Regions from separate parts of the Mus musculus genome. Here all the other regions are reported to be linked to region 2. Evidence: microRNA targets listed by miRTarBase, many of them from high-throughput screens and not tested one by one. Region 2 holds a microRNA gene; each other region holds the end of a gene's coding sequence.
The links. Region 2 holds the annotated microRNA mmu-miR-9-5p (UCUUUGGUUAUCUAGCUGUAUGA, at 3,672-3,694, opposite strand). A microRNA usually pairs through its seed, bases 2 to 8, with sites in the 3' UTR of a target mRNA and lowers its output. Matches are read on the target gene's strand: a 7mer-m8 pairs with bases 2 to 8, a 7mer-A1 pairs with bases 2 to 7 and ends in A, and an 8mer does both.

Region 1: the mRNA of Col4a1 is a reported target of mmu-miR-9-5p. The part of its 3' UTR that is shown has no 7-base or 8-base seed match.
Region 3: miRTarBase lists Nek9 as a target of mmu-miR-9-5p. Seed matches in the 3' UTR shown: 7mer-A1 at 459-465.

What each region holds. Positions count from the first base shown.
Region 1 is chr8:11,195,151-11,200,288 of GRCm38, reverse strand. It overlaps Col4a1 (collagen, type IV, alpha 1), which reads left to right. Exons shown (of 52, transcript NM_009931.2): 52 at 407-1,866. The coding sequence ends at 488. All of the region lies in intron 1 of Gm15418 (a long non-coding RNA gene), which reads right to left. Among named protein-coding and RNA genes, the nearest start is that of Gm15418, 10 kb to the right of the region's middle.
Region 2 is chr13:83,734,707-83,742,514 of GRCm38, reverse strand. It overlaps Mir9-2 (microRNA 9-2), which reads right to left and starts at 3,701; the gene lies at 3,630-3,701. It overlaps C130071C03Rik (RIKEN cDNA C130071C03 gene), which reads right to left. Exons shown (of 4, transcript NR_152245.1): 4 at 1,207-4,345. It overlaps Gm51268 (predicted gene, 51268), which reads left to right and starts at 3,639; the gene lies at 3,639-3,694.
Region 3 is chr12:85,297,088-85,302,225 of GRCm38, reverse strand. It overlaps Nek9 (NIMA (never in mitosis gene a)-related expressed kinase 9), which reads left to right. Exons shown (of 22, transcript NM_145138.2): 22 at 300-2,712. The coding sequence ends at 422. Zc2hc1c (zinc finger, C2HC-type containing 1C) reads right to left here. Exons shown (of 3, transcript NM_172414.4): 3 at 2,868-5,138. Among named protein-coding and RNA genes, the nearest start is that of Zc2hc1c, 11 kb to the right of the region's middle.

The DNA.
Region 1 (5,138 bases), not on the chromosome of region 2:
TTCACAACCATCTGTAACGGGATCTGATGCACTCTCCTGCTGTGTATCTGAAGATAGTTACAGTGTGCTTGTATAAAGAAAAATAAATAAATTAATAAAAATACATATTTCTTAAAAAAAAAAAAAGAAAAGCTAATTAGTCCTATGGCTGAGAGGTGTGATCTTGGCTGGGCTCCGGTGGGCTCGTGCATGTAGGTAATGTCTAAAACATTCCCATGTTGTAGAACCACAGACCCCAGTTGCTGTTTATCATCAATGTAGACGGATGTTTATCTGGTCCCTTAGGGATCATAGGGCTCTGGAGCTGGGGCTACAGAATTTCTGATTCTGTAAGCACCTGCATTTCTGATGCTCCATGACTCGCTGTTGCTGCTGCTGCTGACGGTGTAACTCTGTTGTGTTGCAGGAAGCCCACGCCATCCACCTTGAAGGCAGGGGAGCTGCGAACACACGTCAGCCGCTGCCAAGTGTGCATGAGAAGAACATAACTATGATGCTCGCCTCTGCCACCGTCACAACATGGTGCTACTCCCCCCCCTTGTCCTCTTCTCCCTCCCATTGTATTTGTAACAGCAATGAACCCTAGAATTATATCCTGTGTACCTCACTGTCCACTATGAAAACCATAAAGTGCCTTATAGGGATTCGCGTAACTAACACACCCCGCTTCGTTGGCCTCTGTTTGCTGAAGGAGAAGGACAGGCAGCGGAGAGCTTTCCATAATGGCACATACCAAATGGCGCTCCTGATCCAATAAAAGATGAATTGCATTTTGCAATCCAGTGCACTGATGTCTGGGGCGAGAACTCCATAAGAAACCCAAAGGTGCTAGGGGCGTGAGGCGCTCTCCACACAGCCCACAGCCCGCTTCATCCTGTCACCCCAGATGTGAGTGCTGTCCAACCCACTGTCCAGTGTTTCCACATCAGGTCCCTCGAGGGGCTATGCAGAGAACAGTCAAGGGAACTGGTTTCTTCCACTTTCTACATGGAACTCCATCGTTTCAGCCCCAAACACAAACTTATGCCCTGTGTGGTACTATGCAGCTGCTTTTGTGGAAGTCATGGCTTTCCTGTGGAATAAAGATGGTCCAAAGGTTAGATGGAAAATAAATAAATAAGTAAATAAATATATATATATATTAGTAATTTATATAGGTGTCAGCAATTAGGCAGGTCAAGTTCTAGCGTAGAGCCTGTTGTTAAATAAAGCGCACTTGGTTTTCGTCTCTGGAGAAACTGTACTATCCTTTCACAGGGTTACCAACATCAGGCCACTGAATGTGAAACACCAGCTTTCCTCAAACTCACTCCTAAACCAGAGGAGGTGTATAGATAGCCAAAGCCAAACCCATTCCTAAACATGGTGTCTGATAATGAGCCCTGTGCCTGGCGCTTCTTGCTTCTGCTCTGCGTGGAGTATTTTCAGGGTTTGCAACACTAACCACAGACTGAATGACTGACTTCCCGTACGACAGCCAAGGCCTTTGTTAGCCTCCTTCATCCTGCATCCTGGCAGGCATTTCACACCTGAGCACACACAGGCAACTTCCCAGCTCCTCTCGAGCTGTGACACAGCCCCTGCAGGGAGTGGACAGGTCGCAGGAGGGCAGACTCGGACCACTATGCTTGAAGTGACATTTCACTAAAAGTACCCACCCTCCAAAAAAAAAAAAAAAAGTTTTTAAGACTACTAAGGCCTTCTGTGTAATTTCTTTAAATGTGTATTTCTTAAGAATTCAAATTTGTAATAAAACTATTTGTATAAAAATGAAGCTTTTATGGATTTGTTGCTAGAAATGAAACGTTGAAAGAGAAGTTACCACACGTACCACTAATAAACCTGTAAGCTTTGCTGCATACCTTAGATCATTTTTATTTTGTATGTGTTCAAACAAGAGTCCTAGACTGGGGGTAACTTAGGGCGACTAACTACAAAGGAAGAGAACCCTGCCATACTTTCACTGCATTGTCAGCCCAGGCATTCCTTAGTCACCAGGCCAGCAGAGTGACATTGAAATTGGATCTGTCAGGCCTTAGCCCATTTCTGCAGCAGAGAGGACAAGGGCATGGGGCTGCATTCAGACTCAACTGAGATACTCAGCTCAGATGTGTGCTGGAGAGGTGGCTCAGTCAGAGAGTGTACATTTGGATTTCCAGGATGCACGGAAAAAGTCAAGTGCGGTGGCCCATGCCAGTGGCTGTGGCAATGGGGGCCTGGGCAGGGAGGGCTGAGACACTCAGATCCCTGGCCCTTGCTTACCAGCCTGTCTGGCTGAGTTGGGGAGTTCCAGGTTCAATGACAGTTTCCCAGAAAATAAGAGTGATTCAGGAAGACCCTGAACATTGACTTCATGTTGTACACACGAACCTGTCTCCATGCATGCACATAAAAGATGGTATACACAAACATACACATACATGTACAAAAAGAAGATATTGTCTGTGTGTGTGTGTGTGGGGGGGGAGATTTAAGCTTTGGTAATTTTGTTTGTTATTCGAGACATTGTCTTACTACATAAACCAACCAGCTGGCTGGTCTGGAATTCTCTGTGTAGATCAGGCTGACTTCAGACTGGTAGAGACCCACCTACCACCTCTGCCTCCCAGGGCTTGGATTAAAGGTGTGTGTCACCACACCCAGCAAGCTTCAGTTTTAAACTCGGTTGAAATACAGTCCATGTGGGATGGATATGTTTTTCAGTTTTCATGAAAAGTCTAACTGTTGACATGTCCTTGGCGAATTCAACCCAGCACAGCCACAGTGAGGATGAATCAGGGTAATGTATGAGCGAGCGAGCGACCTTTATGCGCAAGGAAGAAGCAAGAGCATGAGGGAACATTGTGTGAGATAACACAGGAGATCCCGCTGTGGACGCTACGCACGGTGCCCTGAATGCTCACATTACTAGGCCAAGGTCACAGAGGGAGGTCTGATTTTGGTCCTCTGCTCACTTTTGACGTAACTGATAGACAGCACTCTTTGTGCTTTCCTCTGTCTGTGAGAATGGAGAAGACAAATAATAGGATTCATGGGACCATAACCAAAACCCTCTGCAGTTATGTCACCCCCCCCCAATCCAGGTTCTTACAGCGCCGTGGCGTTCTCAGTCTCTCCCCCTCCTCCCTCTACTCTCAGAAGTGAAACAATCTTGGACATGTTTGTCAAAAATCAGCTGCATCTAGATGTGTGGGACATACAAGCAGTTTAGTTTTTAAAAGATTAGGTGTGCCTTTAACACATGATTACGTTACATGTGGGTATCTGTTCTCAGATACCTTGAGAGAGAGGTCATTGTTTCTTTTCTCTTCTTTTCTTTTCTTTCTTTCTTTCTTTCTTTCTTTCTTTCTTTCTTTCTTTCTTTCTTTCTTTCTTTCTTCCTTCCTTCCTTCCTTCCTTCCTCTCTCTCTCTCTCTCTCTCTCTCTCTCTCTCTCTCTCTTTCTTTTTAGACTTATTTATTAATTTATTTTATATCTAAGTACACTAAAGCTGTCTTCAGACACACCAGAAGGGGGCATCAGATCTTATTACAGGTGGTTGTGAGCCACCATGTGGTTGTTGGGATTTGAACTCAGGACCTTTGGAAGAGCAGTCCGTGCTCCTAACCACTGAGCCATCTCTTTAGCCCGAGGTCATGTTTCTTTACTGAGTTCATTTTGTATCTGTAATTTAATTGGCTCTAAGTGTGAGCTTATCTTAGGGATTCCCTAGTTTCACCCACCTACCAGTGGCTCCACTTTCCATACCAAGCTGTCTTGATTTAGCTTAAAAGTAACCTTTTTAAAAAAAATGTATGTATATGAGTGTTCTGTTTGCATGTCTGTACATTGGTCGTGTGTCTATGCAGATAGACAGTTTTTACATTTCCACGATAAAGTCCACTCAGTCACAGTGTGTTATTCTTTTTATGCATCAAACATTTTGGTTGCTATTTTAAAACTACTTTTTTTGTGTGAATTTCACACCATGTACCTCAGTCCCATTCATCTCCCTGTTCCCTGGTACCCACCCTTCACCCTTGCAACCTCCCTGCCAAAAGAAAAAAGATCTTGTGGAAATCTTAGTGTGTCACACAGTATGTCCTTTTGTCTACACTTTGCTTGCAAATGTTCACTTCCTTGAGTCTGGTCTGAGGCTTCTGGATTCTGCGACTCTATCAATACTGGAACCCTCTGAGACTCCTCTTGGAGTCCTGTTGTTGCCCTGTGTCATGGAGATCCTATAGTTTTGGATCTGTAGGACTGCCCCTTCATAAACTCCAGCAGTTCATCTGTGGGGTAGATGCTGGGGTGGGCTGATTTAAAGTCCTGGATCTGGGCCTGGGAGGTAGCTGAGTTGGCCAGCCTGCAAGCTCTCCATCTCTGCCCCTGCTAGGTCATCCAATGGCAGCAAGGGGCAGAACCAGCTCTCTGCTTTCATGCCCTCAGGGACTGCTCATCCACGCCCACACCATCAGGGCCAGCTCTACTGTCCTGCCCAGGTGAGGTGATGAGCCTGCTTTCCTAAGTGTGGCAGCTGTGTGAGGAATGAGGCCAGCTCTCTCACCTGGCATAGGTGGCAAAGGATGAGGTGGGGGGCCTTTCTGCCTCATGTTCACCTCTGTACAGCAGACATGTTGTGGGCCCAGCTCTCCTACACTGAAACCCTCAGGGCCAGCTCGCCAGTGCCCCTGCCACCAGGATCAGCTCTATTGTGACCCAAGCAAGGTGCAGGGCCCATTCTCCCGATTGCTGCAGCCGGTGACAGGCAGGGACAGCTCTCCTGATCTCATGCCCCAGGGACAGCTCATGATGCCCTAACAAGGGGTGGGGGCTGATTCTGCACAGTCCCCAGACATCAAGATGGCCCCAGGTAGTGGCTCAGACCAGAGACATCAGACTGGCCTTTGGTGGTTGCAGACTCCTGCTGCTGCAGGGCCATGGACCGACCCCAGACATGGCTCTTGATGGCAGCACAGGCCAGAACCGCCACCATGGTGGCGTCACCAGCTACTCACATCAGGCTGTTCCTCACTCACTCAAGTCTCCAATTCTGCCTCTCTTCATGGTGCCCACATCCTCCTGTTTCTCTCTTTCCCATCTCTCTGCCACTGACTTGCTCCTCTTAGCAGTGCCTGTGGTGTCTGAGTGTCTGTGAT
Region 2 (7,808 bases):
TTGTGTGTCTTGGGAAATATACTTCTATGGTGTTCATTTACAGTGTCTGTCCATCACCAGTCAAACTTGGAAAGAGTAGTATGCTGAAACTCAAAGCAAAATTTAAGTTGGAGTCACACTAACAGCTTCTAAGCAGAACTACAGCAATAAAAACCAATTGGAGTCCGTTTATGCTCAATCAGACTTTCAGACTGAAGTGGATATTTGTTTTTAATTTATTTTAATTACACAAGAAGCAGTTTTAGAACTTCAACATCCAAGTAATGAACTCCACTCTTCAACTAGACCTGTGTCCTGAATGTCTCATCAGCAAATTAAAATGTTTGTCTAGATAAAATAACTTCGTAATGAGTTCTCTTATTTCTTCTCATTTCTTTTTGTATTTTCTGCAATGTAACCCCTTGCAATGATATTAGTTCTAGTGTGGGAAAATATTATAATTGAGATCTGGTAAGTTATTTGCAGACTTCAAGTTTTTCTTTACACTGTGCTGACATTTAGTACAGCCCTGGTGAGGAAAACAATACAGCCATTCATAGCCCTAGACGTAGATTTCAATCGACTTAGACGGGCACAATGAAACTTGGTCATTCACTGGTTACCCATATTGTGTTCTCAAATTTTCTCTCAGCAAAAGTATAATGACTCAGTATTGTATGGTTGCATAGACAAGGGCTAGGAACAAGAGACACTAGTTTTGTCTGACGGTGTGAGAAAGTCGTGAAGGGATCTTTTCTTCCAGATGGTGTTAAATTCAGCTGCCTTTTTAACATTGGCCTTGCACAGCAATCTGCTGCTCTCCTTTCACAAAGCCTGCCTTGGTTCCCACTAGTTAACATGCATACTCACGCAACCTGCAACTTCACTCCAACTGGTTTACAATGCAGTGGTATGCTAAATAAACTTGATCCGGTTTCTGCCAATGTTAAAACTAGCTTTCAAAGAACTACTTAACTGATAGTTACACTGCTTTTGACTTCAATGTGCGTGCCTTCGGAATATTTCAAATTTTAAAGAAATATCACCTTATGATAAGGTCACTGTAGAGATTATCTTGGACACCATTAGACTCATGCTTAGATATGGTACCTCCTTCAACACACACAAATAAAACAAAATGTCAGAAGTTTGATGTGTAATAGAAAAAAAGAAAATCTGGGACATGTTGCAGCAGGAGCAGTGGGACAGCAAAAAGTAAAATGAAAATAACATTGAAATGTATTTTTATTGATCGATAAGTTATGTAACATTAGTATGATACAAAGCAAGTTGGATATGACAATGGCAAACACATAATTTTAATATTGTTTATTTTCCTTAGATGTTATAGTTAACATATTTACATAAACGACCCAAGATGTAGGCAAAAACTTCAGTAATGTGACTCCATTGAGAGCTTTGAGTAAACAATAGGTTTCCCCAGCAAACATCTTATTGCCTTAATTGAACCTCCTTGAGAAAGAAAAGCACACACTTTGTAATGTAAATGTTAATTGTAGTAGACAATGGTTCTAGGTAAATAGCACCCCTGGACATGAAGCAAATGAAAGGAATACAGGCACTTAACAATGAAAGCTTGTTTGCACAAACAGTGCTTCCAAGGTAAATAAGCAAGGGTCTTCTCGACTGCCTCTACAGCAGTCAAACTTTGGCACGTGTACAGCGGCCAAACTGAGAAGTTGTGTTATTAAAGTCTCTTGGCTTTTCTAAATGAAACTACCAGTGGCTTTACAGGTTTCTCTGGTGTCAATCTTACAAGAAGTTGAAGCTATAAAGAAAAATGTACTGTCCCTGAAGAAAACTTATGCATTTGGGAGTGTCAGTAATTTAGGCCATATGAAAGAAAAGAAGCAATTTTGGAATTTTTTTTCTCATTGCAATGCTTGTATTTATGTGCAAATGCCTATACAAATGTTTGCCTGATAAAATGTAACAGGATGCAAGGAACTTCAAAAAAGGACTACAGTGGTTTCTCCAAAGCCTCAAAGTTTATGCTGGGACTAGTGACTTTTAGATGAAGAGGGAAGAGGAGGAAGAAAAGGAAGAGGAGGGGGAAAAGGGAAAAAAAAAGCTCATCCGCTAGGACAATTCTAAAACAAAACAAGTTCTCTAACATATTGTGATTGTAATCAACTTTCTACAGACTGATGACTTTATAGCTTTATTTCCAGAATGTAGATTAGCATAAGTAGGCCAAGTTCCTGTGTGTCACACAAGGAAGTAAACAACCCGATGAAGTAAGTCATAATAATGAATGCTATGAGACATGACTTTAAAATATAACACAGCCAAAACAAAAGCCAAAGGTGGTCACAAGGCCCTAACCACATACTGAGGACTTCTCTGAGAAGGGCATGCAGTTCTGGGGCACTCTTGGCACCCTTTCCACTTGTTTTCCTTAAATGGTGAAAATTTCAACCAAAGGAGAAATCCAAATTTAATCATGGCCAGATTAAACAGAGGTTTAAAAATGAACAGAGACAGTACATAGCAGCTACCAACCAGTTGGTGTTGCCATTTGGGAGGCTGCAGATGGCTGTGGGTGGGAAATGCCTTTACTTTCTTAAGCGATGGAGATGAGTATGGTGTGTGTGTGCTTGATGTTTTTTTCATACCCCTACCCCCCAACAGGGCTGTCTGTCATAGGCTGCCGGCCAGGCTTTACCACTTGCCCCCGAGCGTGGGAATCGGAGCGTCCTGCCGTTCACATCTCCTGCTTTCCGTTTAGCGGAATCAATTAGGCAAGACAGACCCTCAGATTCCCCACCCCCTTTCCATTTTTGTCAGGTCTATATACGTCCTAATTATTTCAGTTTGGGATGCCAGAGCTGTTTCCTGGATAGACCTGATCATCCTTAAACAAAAAGAGAGGAGGCGCACACGTGGGTTGTGGCGTAAATGTCACTTTCATTTCCAATGCTAGGCGCAGAGTAAGACAGAACATTTTTTTAACACTTTGACAAGAGGGGAGGCGATCTCGTCTCCATCATGTCTTTCTGCTTCAGTAGCTTCCTCAAGGAAACCCTCTTGGAACAGAGAAGCATCTGTCCTTGTATTTTGAATAGAAGAATAAAAATCAGCCTTTGCCCCCACCCCTTTTCCCTGCTAGCTCTAAGTCTTCGGTAGATATAAATTATTAACCTTCCAGTATAAGCTTTACTGAAAGTCTAACTTCACAGAATTTGATGTACACACCCAAATACATAGAAAGTTTCCAGGCACAAGCTTCAAACTTGGGGGAGGGGCCTCAGATAGGAACAGCCCAAATCTACATAATTATGAAATCATTTTTAAGCGAGGTACCAGACATCACTATAACAGCTTTCTAAGAAAAAAAAAGAAAAAAAAAACCTCATATGTAAACGTTTGCTTCAAAATGAACAATATAGAAAATACATGCATCGTCACCCGTAAAAAACACTACACAATTCTCCTCTCCAGTTGTACAAGCCCCTCAAAGCCTGGCCCCTTTAGATTTCAATATGCGTGTCACTTAATTTTCTTGCATCCCACTTTCAATCATAAGATAAAAAAAGTTAGATTCAATAAGCATTCCTGACCTTTCTGGTTTTTACTGTCTCTTGGTTGCAGTCTTTCTTTCCGGAACGTTCCTCGGTGACCTTGAAGGAGTTTTTACTTTCGGTTATCTAGCTTTATGAAGACCAATACACTCATACAGCTAGATAACCAAAGATAACAACTCGCTTCCCTCACAAGGCTGCCTTCCTCTGGCTGAACTCCAGATCTCGATCCTCTTTGGCTTTAGGGAAGCGTAGTCCTCCGGGGTACTTGCCGCGTTTAAGCTTCTCCTTTCATGTAAACATGACCTGGTTTCTGTCTTAGTGTGTGCGGCTAGAACATCCAAATGAGATCTGTTGCATTCAGAGTTTATTCCAAACTTTTCCCCTTCCAGCAAGTAATCTCCAGTATCGTTAGCCAACAATTCATCTATGAGTATCAGAAATTAAGACCAGAGACTAAGGTGCAGCAAGCTGTTGGGGGTGAGCAGCAGTGTCCTTCTCTTCACAGGCCTCTATTTGCATTGTAAATTGCTTCATTCTCACGGAAGATTCTTTAGCCTTCCTCTACTGAGATGTATAAAGCCATCGGCAGTTTCCAACGCTGGTTAAAGAGGAAGAAGGGGGAAATCCCATTCTATAGAAGTGACAGCTGATTCAAAGATCTGCTCCGGATCATTGGGTTAGGCATCATGATCTTTTTTACCAAGTGCAGGCAGCTTGATTGCACATATCTTGTATGTGAATGTTTTAAGGGAGATCCTCGATTTCTTAGGACTTCTAGGCGGGCAGAGCATGCCCTCTTGCTGGCGTACTGCTGCCCCGGTCTGAAAGAAGGAGAAAAGGGCCATCATTGGAGGGGCTTTCACCGCCAAATTGTGGACCAGCCCGGCAAGGTCAAAGGTTTGAGACTGCGGGAGACCAAGGTAATGATGATGTCATGAGAAATCTCAAGTACATGGTTATTGATATGCATCAGTGGTCACCCAACTGCCCCACGCCTGCTGCCAGGAGTAGCACAGGCGACGGCGGCGGCGACGGCGGCAGCGGTGGCGGCGACGGCAGCAGCAGCTTTGCAGCAGTCCCTATATTCTCAATCAACATTTCATCCACTAGCACTACGGACTGCTCCTTGAAAAGCAACCCGCGGCCTTTTACCTCCTTGGCGCTAGTGTAGATCGCTCTAATATCCAAAGAATGGAGAAAATCTCTCTCTAAGGATAGATAAAAGCATTTCAGGTCTGGGGAACTTCTTTGCCTGCATTTCTCTTCTGGCAGATTGCATAGGCAGGCAGATGGAAGGCACTTTACTATTGCTTAAAGCAGGGCCTCGCTTTCTGGGGCTGGGAATCAGCTCTGTTTTTACGCAGTGAGTCGATGGTTACAATGACAATTTGCTTTGGTGTTATGTTTTTAATGGCTTTACAGCTCAGTCATGTTTTCTATCTGTGTACCGTGGCGATAGGGCAGCATATTTGTTCTGTAAGTTCGAACTGCACGATCTAAACAGTGGGGCTTCTTTTTTAAAAATGCTTTGCATATAGAGTGTGTGTGGGGGTTAGCATGCTGCACAGGTAAACATTGCAGCAATAGTTTCAATGTTGTACACAACTCTGCTGTAGCAAAAATGCTGAGCCTTTGTCTACTGTTTTAACATAAATTTCACACTGGACAATAATGCACTAGACTTGCTTATAAAATTAAAATAAAAGTCTTGTCTCCTGAACATGTAGATCCAACACCTGGATGGGGAGGGAGGGAAGCTACCACACCTCCCTGGCCCCACCCACTCATATCCTTCTATCGAGAAGCAGAAGGTCATTTCATTAATTAATTAGCTTCATTCATTGTCTTAGGAGTTTTTAAAGTGTGACTTTAAAATCACTTCAAAGAATCCTTTTCTTTCTCATCCTTTATAATAGATAATCTGTCTAGCACATCTAATATCTAACATTCAAATCCCTCTCAACAAAATATTCATGGTAATCTACATAAGAAGCATGTTCTCTGTGGGTAAACATTATGGATTATTGTTCAAATTACTAATTATTTTTTAGTAATGTTGCTTTTCTTTAAGTTACATGCTAAAGGAGAATTAGTAATTCTAAATGTACATTGCACACATCACCTGTGCCTCACAATGCTCTCAATTCCATAATGTGTCTATTTTCCCCAGTGGCTAAAATACTTTTGGATTTATTAATTTTTTTGGAATAAAATTTTTCTCAGTAATTCACTAATTTATTCATTTAACACATAAATAAGAACCTGGTTATTTAATCACATACAGAGCCCTAAAATCTAAACTCTGTAAAGAAGAGACTGACAAGTTTTTTTTGTTTGTTTGTTTGGTTTGTGTTTTAATGATAGGAAACATCTCCAATGAAGAGTTTAAACATATCACACCAATTAAGATATGGCTTACAGCTTAGTAACAGAGATGCCAATTTGTCCTTATATTAATTTGTTTACTTTTATGGTAAGCATTCTGTAACTGGCTATTGAGAAAAGACTAAGATGTGGAAAGAGTTCGTCTATATTTCTCTTCAAATTATGAACGAGAAGTCAGAAATAAAATACACACGGACACTACAATCCAATCCTAAAGGCATGTTCATAGAGTTTTTGTTCATTCCTAAACCATATGGTCACAGCATAAACAACTCAGTGAAGCGCATGCCACTTCTGACATCATGTAAAAATCCTAATGAGCTTTGCAGCTTGGAAGATTAAAGAGCACCGTGGCCTTGCTTTCCAAGAACTAGCAGCAGAGTAATTAATGATTTGGCTTGTATTACATAAAATAAGCACGTGATCAGATATAGTCAACTGTGTAAGCCAAAGCCCAAGAAATCAAAAATGGTCTTATAGAATCTCTTTTCTTCACATGTATCTAGGTGTGCTAGCTACATATATATATCTATGTGTTGGGAGGGTGTTATTTATTCACATATTTTCTGAATTTGAAAGTTATTATGACTCTATTCCCATACCTAACAATAAAATGTGTTTTTAGAAACAATATCTACAATGAGTTAACACACTGCATATCTGAACGCTTCTCCCACTAGAATCTGAATAAGATGCTGTAATAAATACCACATTCTTAGGGCAACACTAGTCATGCCAACTTACTACAAGGCCGGTCTCCACGCTTGGTATTCATCATGGGAACTCCAATGAGTGAAATGAGCCAAGATCAGGATTATGGGTAGTCTGTTCATTAGCAATGTAGTCAATTAAATATTTTAACTCTCTATCAACCTCACAGGCACACAGAAGAAATTAAATATACTAAGATTTAACATCGAGTGCCCCCTTATTTATAAGATTGCCAAGGTTTATAAAATGGTTTATTGTATGTATTATATATACCCCACAATACGTTACAATTACATATCTTCAAAGACTCCTAGCGATGTCACCTGTGAAGAGCAGCTCTTAGCAACTACACTTTAAACTTAATTTTTTTTTTGCTTTTAAAAGATTATCTAGCTGAGCTACAGAATATCTACTTGAAAATCAGCATAGAGAAGGATATACTGAATTCAAGCAGCCTGAATTCAAGCACTAAATTCTCACTACTATCTAGTAGATTAGAGTATGGTTGTTGTGCTTGCTTGCAGATAGTTTGTAGGTCTCCAAATTGCTGAAACATGACTTGAAACATCCTAGTTTATTTGGGGATAAAACAATCTCTCCTGATTTACAGTAAAAAGTTATGGTTTTCCTCATATTTGGGCCAGAAATATGCTATTTAATTAATTCATATACACTTGGTTTATGATCAATATTTGGAACGTCTTTGAATCCTATACACATGAATGCAGAATGCATAAGGAACTGGCCCAACACCAAATCATTTTAAATATTTCATTTATAAGAATTACAAATGTGCAAATTGTAGTCTACAGTCAATACTACTATTGTCTTATTTTTTAAGCCATTTTATTTACATTAGTGTCCATGGTCCAAGTGATGAAGTGAACTGGCTTTCATTATAATAAAAGTATCTTACCCTTTCCTCTAAATAGGAGCTTCTTTCTTATAGGCTATTGCAGGTTTTATTTATGTCATGCTCTATGCATATACATATATGTGTGTATTACATCCATACAAAGGCTCCTACAGGAGAAATAACTGTACACAGAGGAACTTAGATGTTTCTGGAATTCTATCTGTTGCAAGAGAAGATGTGTGAGAGATTGTAGACCTGTTTTCCAGTAAACAATATTCTATTTTCGTTTTGTACATCAGTCAGGTTTTATCAAATAAAAAAATGTAAATTAC
Region 3 (5,138 bases), not on the chromosome of region 2:
ACTCATGGAGACAATCCTCCTTCATGCTTCTGCCTCCTGGGTGCTGGAATCAAAAGTGTGCACTGAGACCCCCAGCCAGTTCACTTTTCATACTACATCCCCCAAATGCTGTAGAGCTGGACAAACCAGAGCAGCTGTTGCTCTACTGCCTAAGTGTAAAGATAGAGCCTGTTTCCAAGGCAGTGCCGCCAAGCCTTCCGTAGACTGACAGCAAACCCTGAGAGGTCAGACGCTATTGAAAGCAGCCTGGTGCCGTGGCCAGGCACTGTAGCTAATGTGGAACTGCTTTGTCTGCACAGGTGGGGATGCACTCCAGAGGAACCCAGACAGCAAAGGAAGAAATGGAAATGGATCCAAAGCCTGACTTAGACTCGGAGTCCTGGTGCCTCCTCGGAACAGACTCTTGTCGACCCAGCCTCTAGTCTCCTGAGCCCACATAGCCCTCAGGAAACTGGGACCCAAAGAACTTCACCGCACACTTACTGAGTGCAGAGAGCAGCTTTCCTGGCTTTGCTCACTTGCAGACACAGAGTGCAGGGCAGAAGGAGGCTCAAAAGCACTTTCCTTGTTCATTTGGAGAGTGGCATTGCCTTTTAGATAGGATCTAGGAGTGATTTTACTGTGTGGGAGAATGGAAGGGTCCTGTGGACCTGGCTTTGTCATCAGTGTTGCCATAGCAACAGCAGCTCTGTACCTCATCTTCTGAGCCCACCTTTGAAGAGGAGACACAGCACTCACCTTAACTGCACTGGTAGCAGCTCATTTTCTGTTTATCATTCTCATCACTAATTGGAAGCTGCTTTGGGATTTAAGCACCAGGCATTGCACATCTGGATGGATGAAGGAAAATATAAAAATGGAGTGGGCTGCCCAGGGTCCTCCAGAGAGTGGAAAGTATTCATGCCCTCTCAGAAGCCTGGAGTCCAAGAAAACTTAGTGGTAGCGTCAGTCTAGAGCTTATTTTCAGGAAGTTCAGTTACTTCGTGCAGCTGGGTGATCATGAGAAAGCTCAGGTTGCTTTCACCGTGGATGTTTGAAGCTTCAGTGAGGAGCAGAGAAAGGGCAGGCCCTCATCACGACGGCCGGACTCTGGGGCTACAGTCAGTACAGGGTGGGGGTGCCTCCCTCCAAGACACAAGATGTCTACACCCTCCTCGGGGAGTATGTCGAGCTGTGGGGGAAAGTCAAGGGGGAGGTAACCCTTCCTACAGTGCCTTGCCTTGCTATCTGGGAGGACCTCAGTGATACTGCCCTTTGGAGGTTTCTCTGTACCTCTAGCATCGTGGCCATCTGAATGGGATGAGCAGCCCTGGGCACTCCCTGTCTTTGTCTAGTCAGTATTTTTTCCTTTGGTGTGTTTTGGAGCCATGTCATACCCAGTAAATCAGTATCATCTTTGTACTTGAGAAGCCCAAAGCCAGCACCAAATCCTTGGGGTCACAAAAGCTTGACAGATAGAACCTGCCGAGTAGGAGGGGATTGGCTTCAAGCTCACATCTGTGTTCTTGTTGAGAGGAGCAGCCACCTTCTCCAAGGACAGTGTATGTCCTAGAAGAGAAACCTTCTAGGCCAGCAGTTGATAGTTTCCCTTAAATGTGAGCCTTGCACTTCCACCAAGTCTAATGGATTGCTTGTGTTTGAGGCCACAGCAGCTCCTTTGATAAGTACCATATCCTCTGTACTACACACAGCTAAATTAATATTGTTTCATTTAACCAAACCCCCCCCCCAAAAAAAAGGTTGGCTATCTCTCTTAATATTGCAGGAGGACCTACCTATGCAGGAGAAATTTTGCCATTTCCTTAAGCTAGTGGTATAGAGGCTGGTGCTGGGAGGAAGTCCCACCTCTGAGGATGGGCAGCTCTGTCCAGTGGCATCATTGATGTCCCTTGTTTTCTCAGTTCTGAGAAGCACAGTACAGTGGTACTGCTTTCAGCACTGAGGCTTATTCCTAGAATAGGGGAAAGCCCAAACCTGACGTAAGGTTACAAGTTCTAGGGGTCTGGCAGTAAACCCTGCAGAGAGTTTTGGTTCAGTTTGGTCAATGCAGCTTTGGTTTTCGTCAGGACTGGCTGGCCTTTCAAGGTCCTGTATCCTTACGCTTACCATCTCAGCAGGCCTGAGAGGCAGGGTTTAAGGTGTTCAGTACGAGCATTGCTTCTGCTCTGGAGCTGAGGGGTGTGGGCATGTTGCTGACTGTGGGGTGACAGTGCATGCTGAGGCAGGCAGGAATCCTAGGGAGCCGTGCTCAAGTAGAGCATGGCGGCGGTTCTCTAGTATATTCCTTCGGGAAGTCTAGATTTGCTATTACTCTAGCTGGGAATCTAAGTTCTGTGCCTTAGAGACAATTTGCACTTTCCAGAATTGTGCCTAGGACAACCATAAGATGTTCTCCCCTACCAAACAGCTATGCAAACAAAAACCAGTTCAAAAGTCACAACCATGCACTGGGTTGAGTAACAGTCAAGACAGCAGAAATGTCTTCAAACGGTTTTCTATAGCTAAATCTTCGTAAATTGTCCTGTTTATCCTCTATGCAGTGCTCTGTGTTTGAAGCTTGCCGGTAGTGTTGCTTTGAGTTACAGTATAGCCTGCGTTTATCCTCTGTGCCAACACTTGGCTGAAGAGCCAGCTTATTGTTAGCCTGAAGCTGGGAAGGATGAGGATGGAGTGGTGTGGCATTTCTGTTTTAAATAAACGTTTAAACTCTCAGCGAGGGCTGTGTTTGAGTAAGCCTGTCTACCACCTCAGTCACCAAAGACGGAACACCCACAGTTCGAGGCCTTGGGAAATCTCTAATTCTGTGAGTCTTCTATAAATAAATAACTAAAAGTGTTCTTTATACAGAAATGACACAAGAGACATTACACGGAAATAATCTCTGCTGTTTTCCAATCTCATTCTTGCCAGAAAAAAAAAGCAAACAATTTTTTCCCCAGAAGTTTGTAAAAATTTAGAAAGTGCAGAAGGGGGAAAAGCCATTAAAGGAAGGATTGTCAGCAGGTCAAGAGTGGCTTGCTAGGCACTCAAGGTGACCAGAGTCCAACCTACAGAGTCCACACAGCTGTGTGTGGTCTCACACACTGGCGTGTGCATGCCTGCACTCATACACACCATGGGCCTACATAACATTGAGAAGAATCAGAGTTCTACACACCTCCTTGGTTCTCATGGGGAGACTTTTCCAAGTGATCATGCCAGTTTGTCTATAAAACTTCCTCAAGAAAGCTGAGTTGAACTTGGTCTCCTTGGCACAACAGCTGTTGCTCTTGGCTGAACATCACACTAAAGTTTAAAGCAAAAGGCTTCTAATGCTCAAATTTCATCTGGTTTGTTATCTATTCAGAAACATTTATGATGGGAGGAACAGCCAAGGAAAAAAAATATGTATTTTAGAGAAAGTTACTTATATGAGATCCCCAGGCCTCAAAGGAAGTACCAGTCATGATAGCAGGAGGCAGGGTCAGGACTCTGAGATGCCCTGCAAAGCCAGAAGTCATTTATTGCCTCAGTGATTAACTGCCGACATAAATACGCCGGTCATTAAACCTCACGGGTCATGGGCTTTGAGGAGGAAGATCTACATCCCAGCTCTGCTTGCCATCTGTGTGGTTGTGAAGAATGATCAACTGACCGAAAGCAAATGTTGACAAGAGGCACTGTGCTATGTGAACTAGGAAGTCTTTGCCCCAACATGTCTGCACACATTTCTAAATGGAAAGAGCACCTCAGGAGTTTGACTGTGAGAATTTCCCAGAGCTTTGGAACTTTAAAATGTATACTGTTTACGACGTGTGCTTAAAGTCCATGGACATTGGCAAGCAGTACCTGCGTGATCTCTAGTTGAGCTTGTAACGGGGCCCTTCCCTCCCCCAGAGTTGGAGCTAGCTAAATTCCCAAGGCTGACAATCAAGGTCGCAGGGAATACAAAGACAGCTGCTTGTTTTCTCCTTGGTACCTTAAAAATGAGTAAGTGCCACGTCTGGAGAAAGCCCTACACACACTTGTTCCCTCTTGAGAGCTCTAACCTATGACTCTAATAACATCATAATGGATCCCAAATCCTTATGCTCAGGAGGCCCAGCAGATGAGGCAGGGAATCTGGTTCTGTCTGCCATCATTCCCTCTAGAAGGAGCAGAGCAGCAGATTTTGAACTCCTTCCAGTGTGCCCCGTGTAGGTTGCTGCCCAGTGTTTCCACAGCCTCCAGATTGCCAAGACATGCTCCTACCCCAGGGTCAGAAGATCATTTGAAATGCTTCGTAACATTTATGAATGTTATATGAATGGGGTGGGGGTGCTGGAGAGATGGCTCTGAGGTTAAGACCACTTGTTGCTCTTGTAGATGACCTGGGTCCTCAGCACACACATGGTGACCCACAACCATCTGCAGCTCCAGTATCTGGAGATCCAACACCCTCTGACTTCTGCAGGCACCAGGCGTGCACATGGTGCACATACATACATGTGGTCAAAACACTCGTAAATCATTTTAAACTCTGAACATCTGTGGGGATGCGACCTTGTGATTTTAGCCGTGGCGTATTTGTTACATGGAATAAAGAACATTGTGTACTCCTCAGTGAACTTGCCTGGGGGAGAGGGCATGTCAGGTTAAAGACCCAGTGGTCCTAAGAGCTTAAGCAGCCAACCTTCTTAAGCTCCCCAAATCCATTAGTTGAAGGCCTAACTTGAAGTGGGCACTCTTCCCACGGTTAAGAAGACCTGATCCCTTTCAGAGTTTAAAATAGAAGCACGACTATGTTCTGATCTCTGGGCCATGAAAAACAGTGAGCATTGTCCACACTTGCTTAGACAGGCTCTGCTGCCTCGAGGCGGACAGCCACACAGTCATATTTGAAAGGATACCAGCCACTTCTTCCATCAACATAGGAAACACATTTAAAGAGAACAAGTACAGAGAAGTAAAACTTTTCTACCCACCCCTACTCTGTGAAGAGCATAAAGCTATTTCATTATACAGTACACCACAGGGAAGGGTTAGGATACACTGGTTCCCTAACGGTCCATACTTTTGTTGGCTTTCAGCCAGGACTGTGGCCCATGGAGGCCAAGAACAGACTTCCATTATGAGCACCTCACTGCATAGTCGAACTGCCTTTTATAAGAGTTACCATC